Coturnix japonica: one gene and its partners. The protein of the gene in region 3 purifies or fractionates together with the protein of the main gene of each other region. This does not show direct contact. Links are inferred from orthologs where the notes say so. Each region holds a gene or a part of one and is shown on either strand. Other genes may lie near its edges.

Region 1 (4,116 bases), on a different chromosome or scaffold from region 3:
CAACACTGAGGTTACCTGAGGTAGGTGGGAGGTTCTGTGCTGATAGACACTGCCTTGTATTTCTCATCATTTCCATCCAAGATCTCTTCCACTTCAGAGGCCTTTAACAGTGTCACACTGGTGGCTAATGTTGTATATCCATGATCTGTTACCAGGAAAGATGCTAATAGTTAACATGAAAAAGCATTACATAGCATATGGCATAAACAAGCTGAACAGTGAAAAGTGGAGTCAGTGCAGGTGGGACTAGCAAAAAACACATCATTAAAATAGTAAATAGTAGATAAGCTTATAAGTAATAAGGGGGAAAAAAAAAATCCTACATTAAATAGCCCCACACTATCACATCATTTTGCTCTGCACAACTACAGTCTGCCACAATGATGTAAAATCTTTTCCACAGTCCAGAAAACTATAAATCCTCAGTGGACTTAATAGTGGAAATGGAGATATAACACTCAATGGAAAAGCGAGTGGCTGAGCAGACACATCAGATACTAATGAAAGCTAAGCCAGGGAGTACAAACTCTTAAGACCTGGAAAAAGGGAAGAACCACTGGACAGATCTTACTGAATTGCACAGACCATTAATGTTCTGAGAAAGAAAAGTTCAGCATGTGATGAGGATGCACAATGGGATGACCACAGGGAGAGATCAGAGGATGAGATGTTATTATATGCTGTAATAACGCCAAAGGTCATGGCAGAGATTATTCCTGTAGCACAGCTAAGCATAACACACAAATCAGACTTACATCTTCTTGGACTGTGAGACCGCTGATTTTCTGTTGGGAAAGAAAGAAATCAGCAACAGGTCAGCAGGATATTAGAGGAAGGAGGCTTAAGTATAGAATGAACCACGTATCTTTATTATGCCTTAGCCTGAGGAACACATGACAAGTTGCACTGCTAATGAATATAAGTTCTTAATATTAGTCTCCCATCAAAAATAATACCAAGGTGGCTGCATTCTCACTGTGGTGGTAACATCAGTAGAAACACACTGCAAATTCTGGGAGTCATAAACATATAAAGAACATGAGCATCCTTTCAATGTGTTAAGGGACAGAACCACCCCTCTTTGCTACTAGAAATCTCTTCTGGAATATGGTATTTAACTTGAGGTGTGTCTTTTGCATTGTGATAAATGCAGCCAACTCCAGGACAGCCACATTTTGCAGAACGCTGTCACAAAGCCCTAAAGGTACACAAGCTTCTGAGCCTACAGAGACAGTTCTTCAAGGCAGACATTTAGACTGGGAGCATTTCCTCATCTTCTTACCATGTGAAGATGCCACTATCTTCTTCCTTTCTTCTACTGTGGCTAATCGTCTCCAGAGCGAGGGATACCTCTTGTACAGAGAGCCCCGGAACATACGCAGGTAATTCCCCACCTATAAGAAGAAAAGCAAAGATGTGACCTGGAAACGTATTCCATTTAAAGAAACGAATTATCAAAAACTGAAACAAATTTTCAATAATGAAACAATAACAGTGACCTCATAAATAACCTCCTAAGAGGATTTTTTTTGTTGCTTTTCACAATTCACTGTATCAGGTTTGGCATCATAAAGCACAATTTTTGGCACAATACATAGCTCTTATCAGCACTTATTTCACTAGTTTGCTAAGAAACTCCAGCTCATTGACAGAAATCAGTTTTTGTTTATTTTTGGGACTTTGCTACATCAGCACAGTGTCCAGGAAGGATTTAATGGAGCTGCACACCCAGCTCTCCAGCAGCATCCCTTTCACCAGACACCGCTGGGATCACAGAATCACAGAATGACCCGGGGTTGGAAGGGACCTCAAGGATCATGTAGTTCCAACCCCCTGCCTGGCAGGGCCACCAAACATACACCTTTACTAGATCAGGTTGCCCAGGGCCCCGTCCAGCCTGGCCTTGAACACCTCCAAGGACGGGGCATCCACAACCTCCCTGGGCAGCCTGTTCCAGGGCCTAACCACTCTCCTAGTGAAGAACTTCCCCCTAACATCCAACCTAAATCTTCCCTCTTTCAACTTAAAACCATTTCCCCATGTCCTGCTATTGTCAGGACTGCTTTCCAAGAGTGGATGGCTCAGACACACACAGCGCTGCCTTGTGCTCTACTTTAAGCCCTTGGAACACGCAGGATGCGATCTGTGCCTCTCCAAACCCGCTGACCAGCAGCACAGCAGCTCTGCTCTTCTCAGCACAATGCAACACAGCAGTGCAGGCTCCAGCAGGGTTCGCTGGACAACACAATGAATTCTAGGCTCTGCGACCAGGTTTTTTAACTGCTGCTGTACTTGTAGAGTGTGTATAGTTCACAAAGGGGCTCACATTCCCTGTCACACAGGCCTTATTTTGACCTTAACATCTTTCAGACCATTTTTAATTGTAACTTTATAGCGGGGGGCTGGAAGGCGATCCCTCCTCCTCCACGTACCCTGTGTGGCACATATAGCCAGATAACCTGCAGTTATGGCTCCTTTTAACAGCACAATCCCCACAGTATCACAGCACCAAAGCCCTTCTGCTCCCACACAGCGCTGCCCACCCCACAGCCTCGCCTCGCCGCCTCCCCCCCTCCCCGGGCCGCCGCCATTGTCCGTACCTCGGAGCCGATCATATAGAATTCTCCGTCCTCCTCCAGCTGGAACTTAACGGGCTTCTGCCCGAAGGTTTTGCTCAGCGCCATCATCATCATCGCTGCGGCCCGGCGGGATCCGGCGGCGCTGAGGGAACCGGGGCGCAGCGACAACGGCAGCGCCTCGGCCTACTCCGCTGCTGCTCTGCGCATGCGCAGGGCACCGCCCCGCCCGCTCGTTCCCGCCCACCCGGCGCTGAAGTGAGTCGGGCGGCGGGTAGAAAAGAGGCGCTTTATTGGTACATCGATACGTATATACACAGTATATATAGATATAGATATAAAAAGAGTTGATACGCGTCGTACAAAAGTTGACGCCCACGGGTTTGGTTCTGTACCCGGGAGCACCGTGCGGATGGGCAGTGTCCAGCACTGGGATGGGGCAGGCTGAGGGGCTGCGGCCTCACAGCGCGGGGGGTGATGGCGGCGGGTCGGTGTTATGGGGGGGGTCCCGTTCCAAGGCCTGATGGCTTTGGGATGATAGAGCTACAACAGCCCGGCCACATTAAGGCTGCTCGTGTCTGTAAGGAATGTGGCAGATGCTTCTGTACAGGGACCAAAGCTGGGGCTGCTGCTGGAACGGGAGAGGAGCAAACTTTGTCACTTGTTGTGACACGTCTGTTGTGTCAGTCTGCGCCTGGAAGGAGCCAGGGATGGCAGCAGAGCCCTCAGTGTCTGCTGGAGGTCAGGGCTGGAAGGGAAAAGTAGGGGATGCTCCTTCATCGGAAGGAGTTGGAGGACGGTGTGCAGCTGAAGAAGTCCTGGCTGATCTGACGGGGGTAACCTTCCAGAACCTTCACCTGCACCGGGTCAAACTTCCAGTAGTCTCGGCCTCTCAGGAAATAGGCAAAACCTGTGGAGGAGAGAGGGAGGAGTAAGTGAGCCAGCCTTCACTCAGCTGTCTGCACTAGGTACTACTGAAAGCAGTTCAGCACTGCTGCCTGGGCTGAACTGCAGGCAGAGCTGCTGGGCTTGTCACTATTGGGAGTGGTAACAGCTGGGTCTGGTGGGAAGTAGCATCACCCTGAGCACGTGCCCCAGAGCAGGGCCTGTCCCTGCTGCACTGACCCAGCTCATCCTGAAAAGCAGCATCAATCTCCTGTGGGACGCCTCGCCAGTCAGCCATGGTCCGGGGGTAGATGTTGTCCACCTGGCGTGTGCGAGGGTTGAAGCGCCAGTAGTTGCCTCCACTGAAGATGTAAATCTTGTTCTTCTCTGTCCCCCATACCAGAGCTGCCTGCACGGGAGAAGCAGGGAGGCCCAGCTCTACAGTTGGTGTGGGACCAGAGACTCGTCTCTCGCCGTCATAAATCCAGTACTGAGAATCTGGTAAGGAGATGGAAAAGGGGAAACACATGTTCAGAAGTTCTTAGATGTCAGATAACTTGGCATGGAATTGCAGACTGGAGCTGGTGCCTGGGCAGAGCTCCCAGGGAAAGCTGTTCATGAATGCCCACCAAGGGAGTAAGGAATTCAGTTCTCC
Region 2 (4,057 bases), on a different chromosome or scaffold from region 3:
ACTACCCTAAAGAACAAACACAAGTCACCACTGCTCTTAATGTAATTCAAGATTCAAGTCTAACCATTAATGTCATTAAGCCTATAAAACAGAAACTAGATAATAGGTCAATGTCATTTAAATTGTATGACAACACATACATTCCATAAAGAAGAAAAAAATTGCCAGTCTAGGGCACATCTTACTTGAATTGAGAAGAATCCACTGTCATCCATGTTTACAGAAGGCTGCTGCTCAGCATATGAGGTTGGAGGAAGGAAAGTTAAAAGTTGTGTCAGCATAAAAGTTCAGAAAGAATTTCACTTAAAAATAATAATAATAATAATATGACTGTACATACATAAAACAACAATGAAATATATTTTACTCTGTATGCTGATTACAACACCAACATTTGCATTTTTGTTAATAACTCAAACTTTTAAGCTGCAAATACTTACTGCTTAAAGGACAGACATGTACAGGGAATTCTGTTACCGTCTCTACCCCTGGCTTACTAAAACAAACAGTCAATCTCTTAGTCTTCTCCTTGCCATGCCTAACCATCTTACCCTTAAGATGAGGAGATAAGGTAACACGGCCCCCTGTAGAAGCACTATAAAGCTGTACAAATAACACTAAAAACCTCAAACCTGAAATGCCTGAATGAAAATATCAGCAAACTTCCAAAACATCAGCACTAGAAAATGAATCTTCTGTAATTATGCAGGCATAGCAGGCCTTTGCTATACAATATTAGATTTTAAGAAGACATCATGCAACGTCAAGTTAAGATTTTACCTGTAAAAATGTTCTATATTCTTCGCTAGACACTCCTCCCTCTGCCATTCTCATTCTTTCTTCCTCATCCAACTGCTGTGCAATGGAGGATAGCTCAACCGGACTGAAGTACTCTCCTTGTAGCAAATTATTCAGACAGTGTTGAGCACATAATGAGCCTTCTTGCTAATATTAGGAAAGGAAAAAAACACCACTATGTCAAAAGCAATAACATATAGATGTTAATGACGCACTCTGCAGAAACATTCAATGATTTCATTCCAGCCCCCACTTCCCAGAATACTGTATTTTTTTCCATTTTTATTACAGTGTGAGCTGTAGAATACATTCCTATGTTCCATTAATCTGACGATGGAAAAGAAAACAAACATATTTCCTGGAAGAAAATAAATTCTAAGTGAAAATGTTTTGGGAAACAGGGTAAAAATCACCTACAGTTTGTCCAAGTCACACAAGTACTTTGCAACCATCAGGAGAATCGATTCCGCTCCCTTCAAATCATCACTGTATGAAATAAGAAACTCATTCTTTTCTTTTTTAAATCTCTAATTCCCATTAACAAATATTCTCCACAAGGGACACTCTTTTTCTTTGTTAAACTTGTGTTCCCTATGAGGTTTGGGAAATATCTGCTTTCCACATGTGGCTAAAGAAAAACAGAGCATTGAGACTTTGCAAAAAGAGGAATTACAGTTTCCCATGAAAAACAATCCCTCTCTAAAAAATAACAGGCGAGTTAGTTAACCTACGAGTGCAAGACAAGTTTAACATCAGCTATAAAAAGCAGCTTTCCTCTTTGCATCAATGCTTGTTTATATTAACATTAAGAATGTGCATTAGGACAAAGGTGTTGGAAACAAAACAAAATTGTCAAAGAATTAAAACTCCACAGAAAGTAAAGAATACAAGAGTGTGCCTTGTAAGAATGTTATTTAAATGTCCACTCTTCCATCATACAAGTCAGGTGCACAAATCTCCCTTGGTCTCCCTCACAGCAGGATCCCTGAAACTTTATAGATTACAATCCCTTCTGAAGGTACCACCACTCAACTGAATATTGAGTTCAAGCTGGACAGGCTGTACAGCCTAAGTACAATGGAATTCAAAAGTCTCATCTTTCACAGCTTCTCCAGCTTGTGTTTATCCCACAAAAAGAAACTCCAGACTAAACAGCAACTCCTGCCCTGCTGGAAGCACGTTCCTGCTGCTGGCCCCATGACACAGCTGAGACCTGCCAATGGTCACAGATTGTTTCCACCAGAAGCATATGAAATAATTAGGAACAAATCAAGCCTGGGATAACTTTGTTAAAATGAGTCATGTTACAAGTTTAGGCTCTAATTTCTTTGAAAGGGCCCTTCTGTACTGATGTAATAACTTATTAAAAGCAACAACAAAAACCCACTGAACTGTACAGCTAACTCTATTTATTTGTTAACTAAACCAACTACTACGCATAAGAACAACGGACAGAAACCAGTATCACCTAAACAGATCCCACAAAACAATACAAAAATATCAGCAAAGCTGCAGAGTGACCGGCAAAGCAGATAAAGGGCACTGTAGTGTAACAACAGAGGTCGCAGGCAGCTGCTACGTGTGAGCCCTGACACAGCACAGCAGTTTCCAGAAGCATTTGTTCTCCCAACAGGAAGCTCAGCTCAGCTCAGCACTCGATGCCGTCCCTCACAGCGCCGCACACCCACAGCGGGCAGATTTGGTGTCCGAGCTCACGGAACCCGCCCCACGTACCGCTGCTCGCCTTCCTGCTCGGCCACAGACGAGAAGCAGCCCCGCCGGAGATGGGGCAGGGGAACAGGGCAGCCCCAGAGCAGCGCAAGGCCGGGAGATACAACTGCCGCCTCCCCAGAGCGCAGCCCCGCTCCCGCCCCACAACACCTCACTCACCCGCTCGTGGAAGATCGACTCCATGTTTATTATCAACGGCACGGCCTCCGCCTCACATGACCCGCGCAGCCAATCGCGGCTCGCCTCGCCGTGCCGCAGCAGCGCCCCCTGGCGGCGGGAGGTCCGGGCAGCTCGGCAGCACGACGCGCTTGCGCAGTTCTGGAGCAGCCGGAAACGTGCGGTCCTTCCTTCCGTGTGGCGGTGAGTTAATAAAGCGCCATGTGTGAGGTACCGCCTCGGTTAGCTCATAAACCACCTATAAACGCATTAATTCCACACCACACAGACTAAGAAAAAAGGAAATTATTTTTGCATAGTTTTTTTTTTTTTTTCTTTATTACATGACGTCTTTTCTCCCCCAACTCCAGAGCGGAACCTCTGGGGGCAGATATTTCTCAATTCCATGGGCTTCACAGAATCAAAACAGCTTTATAATAGATCACCTTCCATAAAGTAACAATAGGAATTAAAGTAGCAGTGACAAACTGTAGGTGTTCTATTCTGTAGCTTGGTAGGGTCTCAGGAGAAAAAACATAACCATATTGTTTCAATGCATGAGATCAGGTGATGAACAGAGCAGAAAGTTTCCCCCATTCATTAGCAGCCTTTATTTCCAGGTCTTTTCTTCGCCGGGTCTCAGCTCCCTGTGTGGAAAGAAAACAAAGGGTGGAGGCTAAAATTAGGATAAATGGTGTGGGATAATTAACAAGCATTTAAAATGATTCTAGAATCACAGAATCACACAGAATCACAGGATGACCCGGGTTGGAAGGGACCTCAAGGATCATGTAGTTCCAACCCCCCTGCCTGGCAGGGCCACCAAACATACACATTTACTAGATCAGGTTGCCCAGGGCCCCATCCAACCTGGTCTTGAACACCTCCAAGGACGGGGCATCCACAACCTCCCTGGGCAGCCTGTTCCAGGGCCTAACCACTCTCCTAGTGAAGAACTTCCCCCTAACATCCAACCTAAATCTTCCCTCTTTTAACTTAAAACCATTTCCCCATGTCCTGCTATTATCAGCCTTTTCGAAGAGTTTACTCCCCTCCTGGGAGTAAGTTCCCTTCAGGTACTGAAAGGCTGCAATGAGGTCACCCCGCAACCTTCTCTTCTCCAGGCTGAACAAACCCAACTCCCTCAGCCTGTCCTCATAGGGGAGGTGCTTCAGCCCCCGCCCTCCTAAACTTTTACTTTACGACCCAAAGCTTCAAAGGATTGAGTCCTACCATTAATTATAAATAAACCTCTGCTGAGTTAACAGATGGTGTTTCTTACATGAGACCCCAAAGGCAAAAATCTAACTCCTTCCAATCCAAAAATCCATTGCTTTAGTGGGAAGACAAATAGAGGCGAAAGTGGAAAGCG
Region 3 (3,679 bases):
ACAGGGACAGGAGGCTTCTTTCTTTAATTTCTATTTTGTTTTTCAGGCACATCAATCTCTGTTTTCCCAGGTCACCCAAACAGCACCATCTGCTATTTTTCACCCTGCTTATATTTAGCATTCAGTCTGTGTTCACTGTGGCCTGTGCTGTGACTTACACACAAGTGAAGGCATTGAGTGTTTGGTATTTGGGGGTTTTTTTGGCGTTGCTGATGCAGCAGCACATCTTCAGGGTGGGGTGAGACATGTTCTGGTGGTTTCACATCCTGCCTTTTCCGTGCATTAACTCTCAGTTTGTCGAATTGAAATTAATGAATTAGAACTTGAGTGTCAAGTCCTGAGTGCACAGCAAAGCAAACGGCTGCACTCACAGGGTCTGTCAAAGTCTGTTTTATTTTTAACACATTTTATTCTGTGTAAGACTTGCAAGGACAGGCAGTGGAGCTGAAGCGCGGGGAGAAGACACAACTGAATGTATGTCTGTGCATAAAAAGAAGTAAAAACCTGGGCTATTTTTAAACCACATTTGAAATCTGTTTCGTGCTGGGTTGGCTTTTGATTTCTGTCCTGGAAGATGGGATGTATTTAGCACAGTGTGGTTCATCTGCAGGCACTGGAATGAAGCTGCATTACTGACAGCAGCTGCACCTCACTTTGTGCTGCAGTGAACAGGAGAGAGCTCTGTAAAGCTGAACGTCTTCCCCGTGTGTTTCTTGCAGGGAAGTCAGGGTGACAGCAAAAACGCCAAGAAAAAGAACAACAAAAAAACCAACAAGAATAAGAGTAGCATCAGCAGAGCGAACAAGAAGAAACCCAGCATGCCAAACGTGTCCAACGACCTGTCTCAGAAGCTGTACGCCACCATGGAGAAGCATAAAGAGGTACCGTCAGAACGTGCAGAGTGCAGGGGAAGCTGGTTCCTGTAGATGGAGGTGGGGTGGTAGAACTGGAAACCAGGAGGAGCTAAAGCTTTTGGTTACGCTGAAGGTTTCTTGTAGTCGTGTAACAACATATTGGAGAGATTGCTATAATGGTGTCCATTAGATAATGGTTGCAGCGTTGTGTTTCTGCAACAGAACATGAGCTTTTCCTGTGAGATAACCTGACGTCGTTGATTTATTGCCCCTCTTCCCATTTATCTGCAGGTCTTTTTTGTGATCCATTTACACGCTGGGCCTGTCATTAACACGCTGCCCCCCATTGTGGACCCCGACCCGCTGCTGAGCTGCGATCTGATGGATGGCCGGGATGCCTTCCTCACCTTAGCCAGAGATAAGCACTGGGAGTTCTCCTCGCTGCGCCGATCCAAGTGGTCCACGCTCTGCATGCTGGTGGAGCTCCACACCCAGGGGCAGGACCGCTTTGTTTATACGTGCAATGAGTGCAAGCATCACGTGGAGACCAGGTGGCATTGCACTGTCTGTGAGGTATGTGTAGGTCACCTGGGATGGCTTCTCACCCGAGTCTCCTCAAAATTAAGCCTGTTCTGGTGTTAGCAATGTGAAGCTTTAAGGGAAGGCAACTGCCACTGTGGATCAATCTCTTCTAGAGTAGGTGCCTTTGTTTTTCTGGATGGGAAGCTGCCGTGTCCTAGAATGGTTACAGCTGAATTGCTGCCCTTGTCATCAAGCTCCTCTGCACATCCGGGCTTCAGCTTATCAAGACAGAATTTCAGGGCTGACTGACAGGGTCTGACACTGTCAGAGTAACCTGAATCTGCAGGACTGGCGTATCCATGTTGAATGGATGACCACGGGAGCAGTTGGCTCCATGTTGTATGTGGTGCTTGGCTTTGTATTGAGTGCAGCCAGGCACATGCTCAGGCTGCTGTGCAGCTGGGAAAAGGGGCTTCCAATTCAGCCCAGCTTTAGAGGTTTCTTGCCCTTTGGATCAACCCAAATAATTGCTTCCTAACCTGGCTCTGTACTTCTGATGTCTGGCCCTATTGCAGTGGAGATCACTTCTACTGAACTGCATTAGAGAGCAATTACACGTGGAGTCACACGGGTGGACGTGAGGGGCAGGTCTCCTCCATGGGGCTGTTGGTGACCTCTGGCTGCAGCTGAACTAAAAACTGTTGAGTAAATGCAGCCTCGTTCTCACACTGGAAGTTATTGCCAGGCTTGTGGTTGAAGAGTCTTAATTAATCCCTCCGAGGGGAGCACTGAAGAGGGCTTCTTGAGGCAAGGCTGGAATTAAGTGGTGAAAGGAAGTGTGGCCATTAGGTTTCTTCTGGCTGCTTCTGTGTGAGGGGAATTGTCTTCCTCTAGCAGTCAAATAAAGCACTCAGGGCAGTGAGAATGGGGTGTTTGAGGAGGTTTTTAGCTAAGTGTCCGTCTTGCCATGAAACTGGCACTTGCTTCAAGGGCTGTCTTAGAGATTAAAAAACACATTGCAGGTCAGGAATTAATTGTTAGTCAGTAATTACACCAAGGATAGTTAAATGGAGAGCAGATCCTTGGTTCTTAGCACTTAGGGTAGAGCTGTTTGCACTGTTTTGGCTCTCCTTGTGTAACTTGTCTGGTAGCCATTCCAGAGATGTAAAATTTACCATCATCAAAAAGGAAGGAAAAAACCCAGCAGACCAAACCCTGCAATGTATGGAAGCGACGGCACAGAAGCGGTGCCTGATTGCATTCTTGCCCTCAGTGGAGCCTGGGACTGTCTTGCTTCTGTTGGGCCATGTTTGTGCCCACTGTAACCCAGATGTGCTTCCACATCGGGTTCATGTTTCTCCTCCCTCCTAGTGCCGCAGGTAGCACTTCACAGGCAACTGAGCTCTGCATTTTCTTTGCTTTCAGGACTACGACCTCTGCATTAACTGCTACAACACTAAGAGCCATGACCACAAGATGGTTAAGTGGGGCCTGGGCCTGGATGATGAGAGCAACAGCCAAGGAGAGCAGCAGTCAAAGAGCCCCCAGGAGTCGCGCCGGCTGAGCATCCAGCGCTGCATTCAGTCCCTCGTCCACGCCTGTCAGTGCCGCAACGCAAACTGCTCGCTGCCATCCTGCCAGAAGATGAAGCGGGTTGTCCAACACACCAAGGGCTGCAAGCGCAAGACCAACGGCGGCTGCCCGGTGTGCAAACAGCTCATAGCTCTTTGCTGCTACCACGCCAAACACTGCCAAGAGAACAAATGCCCCGTGCCATTCTGTCTCAACATCAAACACAAGCTCCGGCAGCAGCAGATCCAGCACCGCCTGCAGCAGGCCCAGCTCATGCGCAGAAGGATGGCGACCATGAACACCCGAAACGTGCCTCAGCAAAGTTTGCCTTCTCCTACCTCAGCAACGCCTGGTACCCCCACACAGCAGCCAAGTACGCCGCAGACACCGCAGCCTGCTCCCCAGCCCCAGCCTTCCCCTGTAAGTATGTCACCGGCCGGCTTTCCCAGCGTCTCCAGAACTCAGCCCCCCACCACTGTTTCGACAGGAAAACCCACAAACCCGGTTGCGGCGCCTCCACCTCCTGCTCAGCCGCCACCGGCCGCAGTGGAAGCGGCTCGGCAGATCGAGAGAGAGGCCGCCCAGCAGCAGCAGCAGCTCTACAGGGTCAACAACATCAACAATGGTTTGCCCCCTGGTCGCCCGGGGCTCGTAAACCCGGCGGTGGGTTCGGTGAGCCAGATGCAGCAGGTCGGCATGAATGTACCGCGGCCCAACCCCGTCAGCGGCCC

The links. Proteins that work in one complex are often made in the same cells at the same time.
Region 1: the proteins of CREBBP (region 3) and SMARCB1 fractionate together in Homo sapiens (co-fractionation; 3 studies listed by BioGRID, with this or other methods). This does not show direct contact. The link is inferred for Coturnix japonica from reciprocal best matches to the Homo sapiens genes CREBBP and SMARCB1.
Region 2: the proteins of CREBBP (region 3) and ATXN3 purify together in Homo sapiens (affinity purification with western blotting; 3 studies listed by BioGRID). This does not show direct contact. The link is inferred for Coturnix japonica from reciprocal best matches to the Homo sapiens genes CREBBP and ATXN3.

The regions. Positions count from the first base shown.
Region 1 is NC_029530.1:7,048,747-7,052,862, reverse strand, and holds the start of SMARCB1 (SWI/SNF-related matrix-associated actin-dependent regulator of chromatin subfamily B member 1), read right to left. Parts: upstream 2,801-4,116; 5' UTR 2,694-2,800; coding exon 2,601-2,693; intron 1,395-2,600; coding exon 1,283-1,394; intron 786-1,282; coding exon 756-785; intron 146-755; coding exon 16-145; intron 1-15. Other genes in the region: MMP11 (stromelysin-3), read right to left, coding at 3,353-3,486, 3,702-3,959.
Region 2 is NC_029520.1:40,426,448-40,430,504, forward strand, and holds the start of ATXN3 (ataxin-3), read right to left. Parts: upstream 2,801-4,057; 5' UTR 2,713-2,800; coding exon 2,689-2,712; intron 2,554-2,688; exon of another isoform or gene 2,533-2,553; intron 946-2,532; coding exon 781-945; intron 231-780; coding exon 186-230; intron 1-185. Other genes in the region: NDUFB1 (NADH dehydrogenase [ubiquinone] 1 beta subcomplex subunit 1), read right to left, coding at 3,296-3,332. UniProt on the Homo sapiens protein: Deubiquitinating enzyme involved in protein homeostasis maintenance, transcription, cytoskeleton regulation, myogenesis and degradation of misfolded chaperone substrates.
Region 3 is NC_029529.1:11,012,146-11,015,824, reverse strand, and holds part of CREBBP (CREB-binding protein), read left to right. Parts: intron 1-719; coding exon 720-881; intron 882-1,145; coding exon 1,146-1,427; intron 1,428-2,801; coding exon 2,802-3,679. UniProt on the Homo sapiens protein: Acetylates histones, giving a specific tag for transcriptional activation. Mediates acetylation of histone H3 at 'Lys-18' and 'Lys-27' (H3K18ac and H3K27ac, respectively).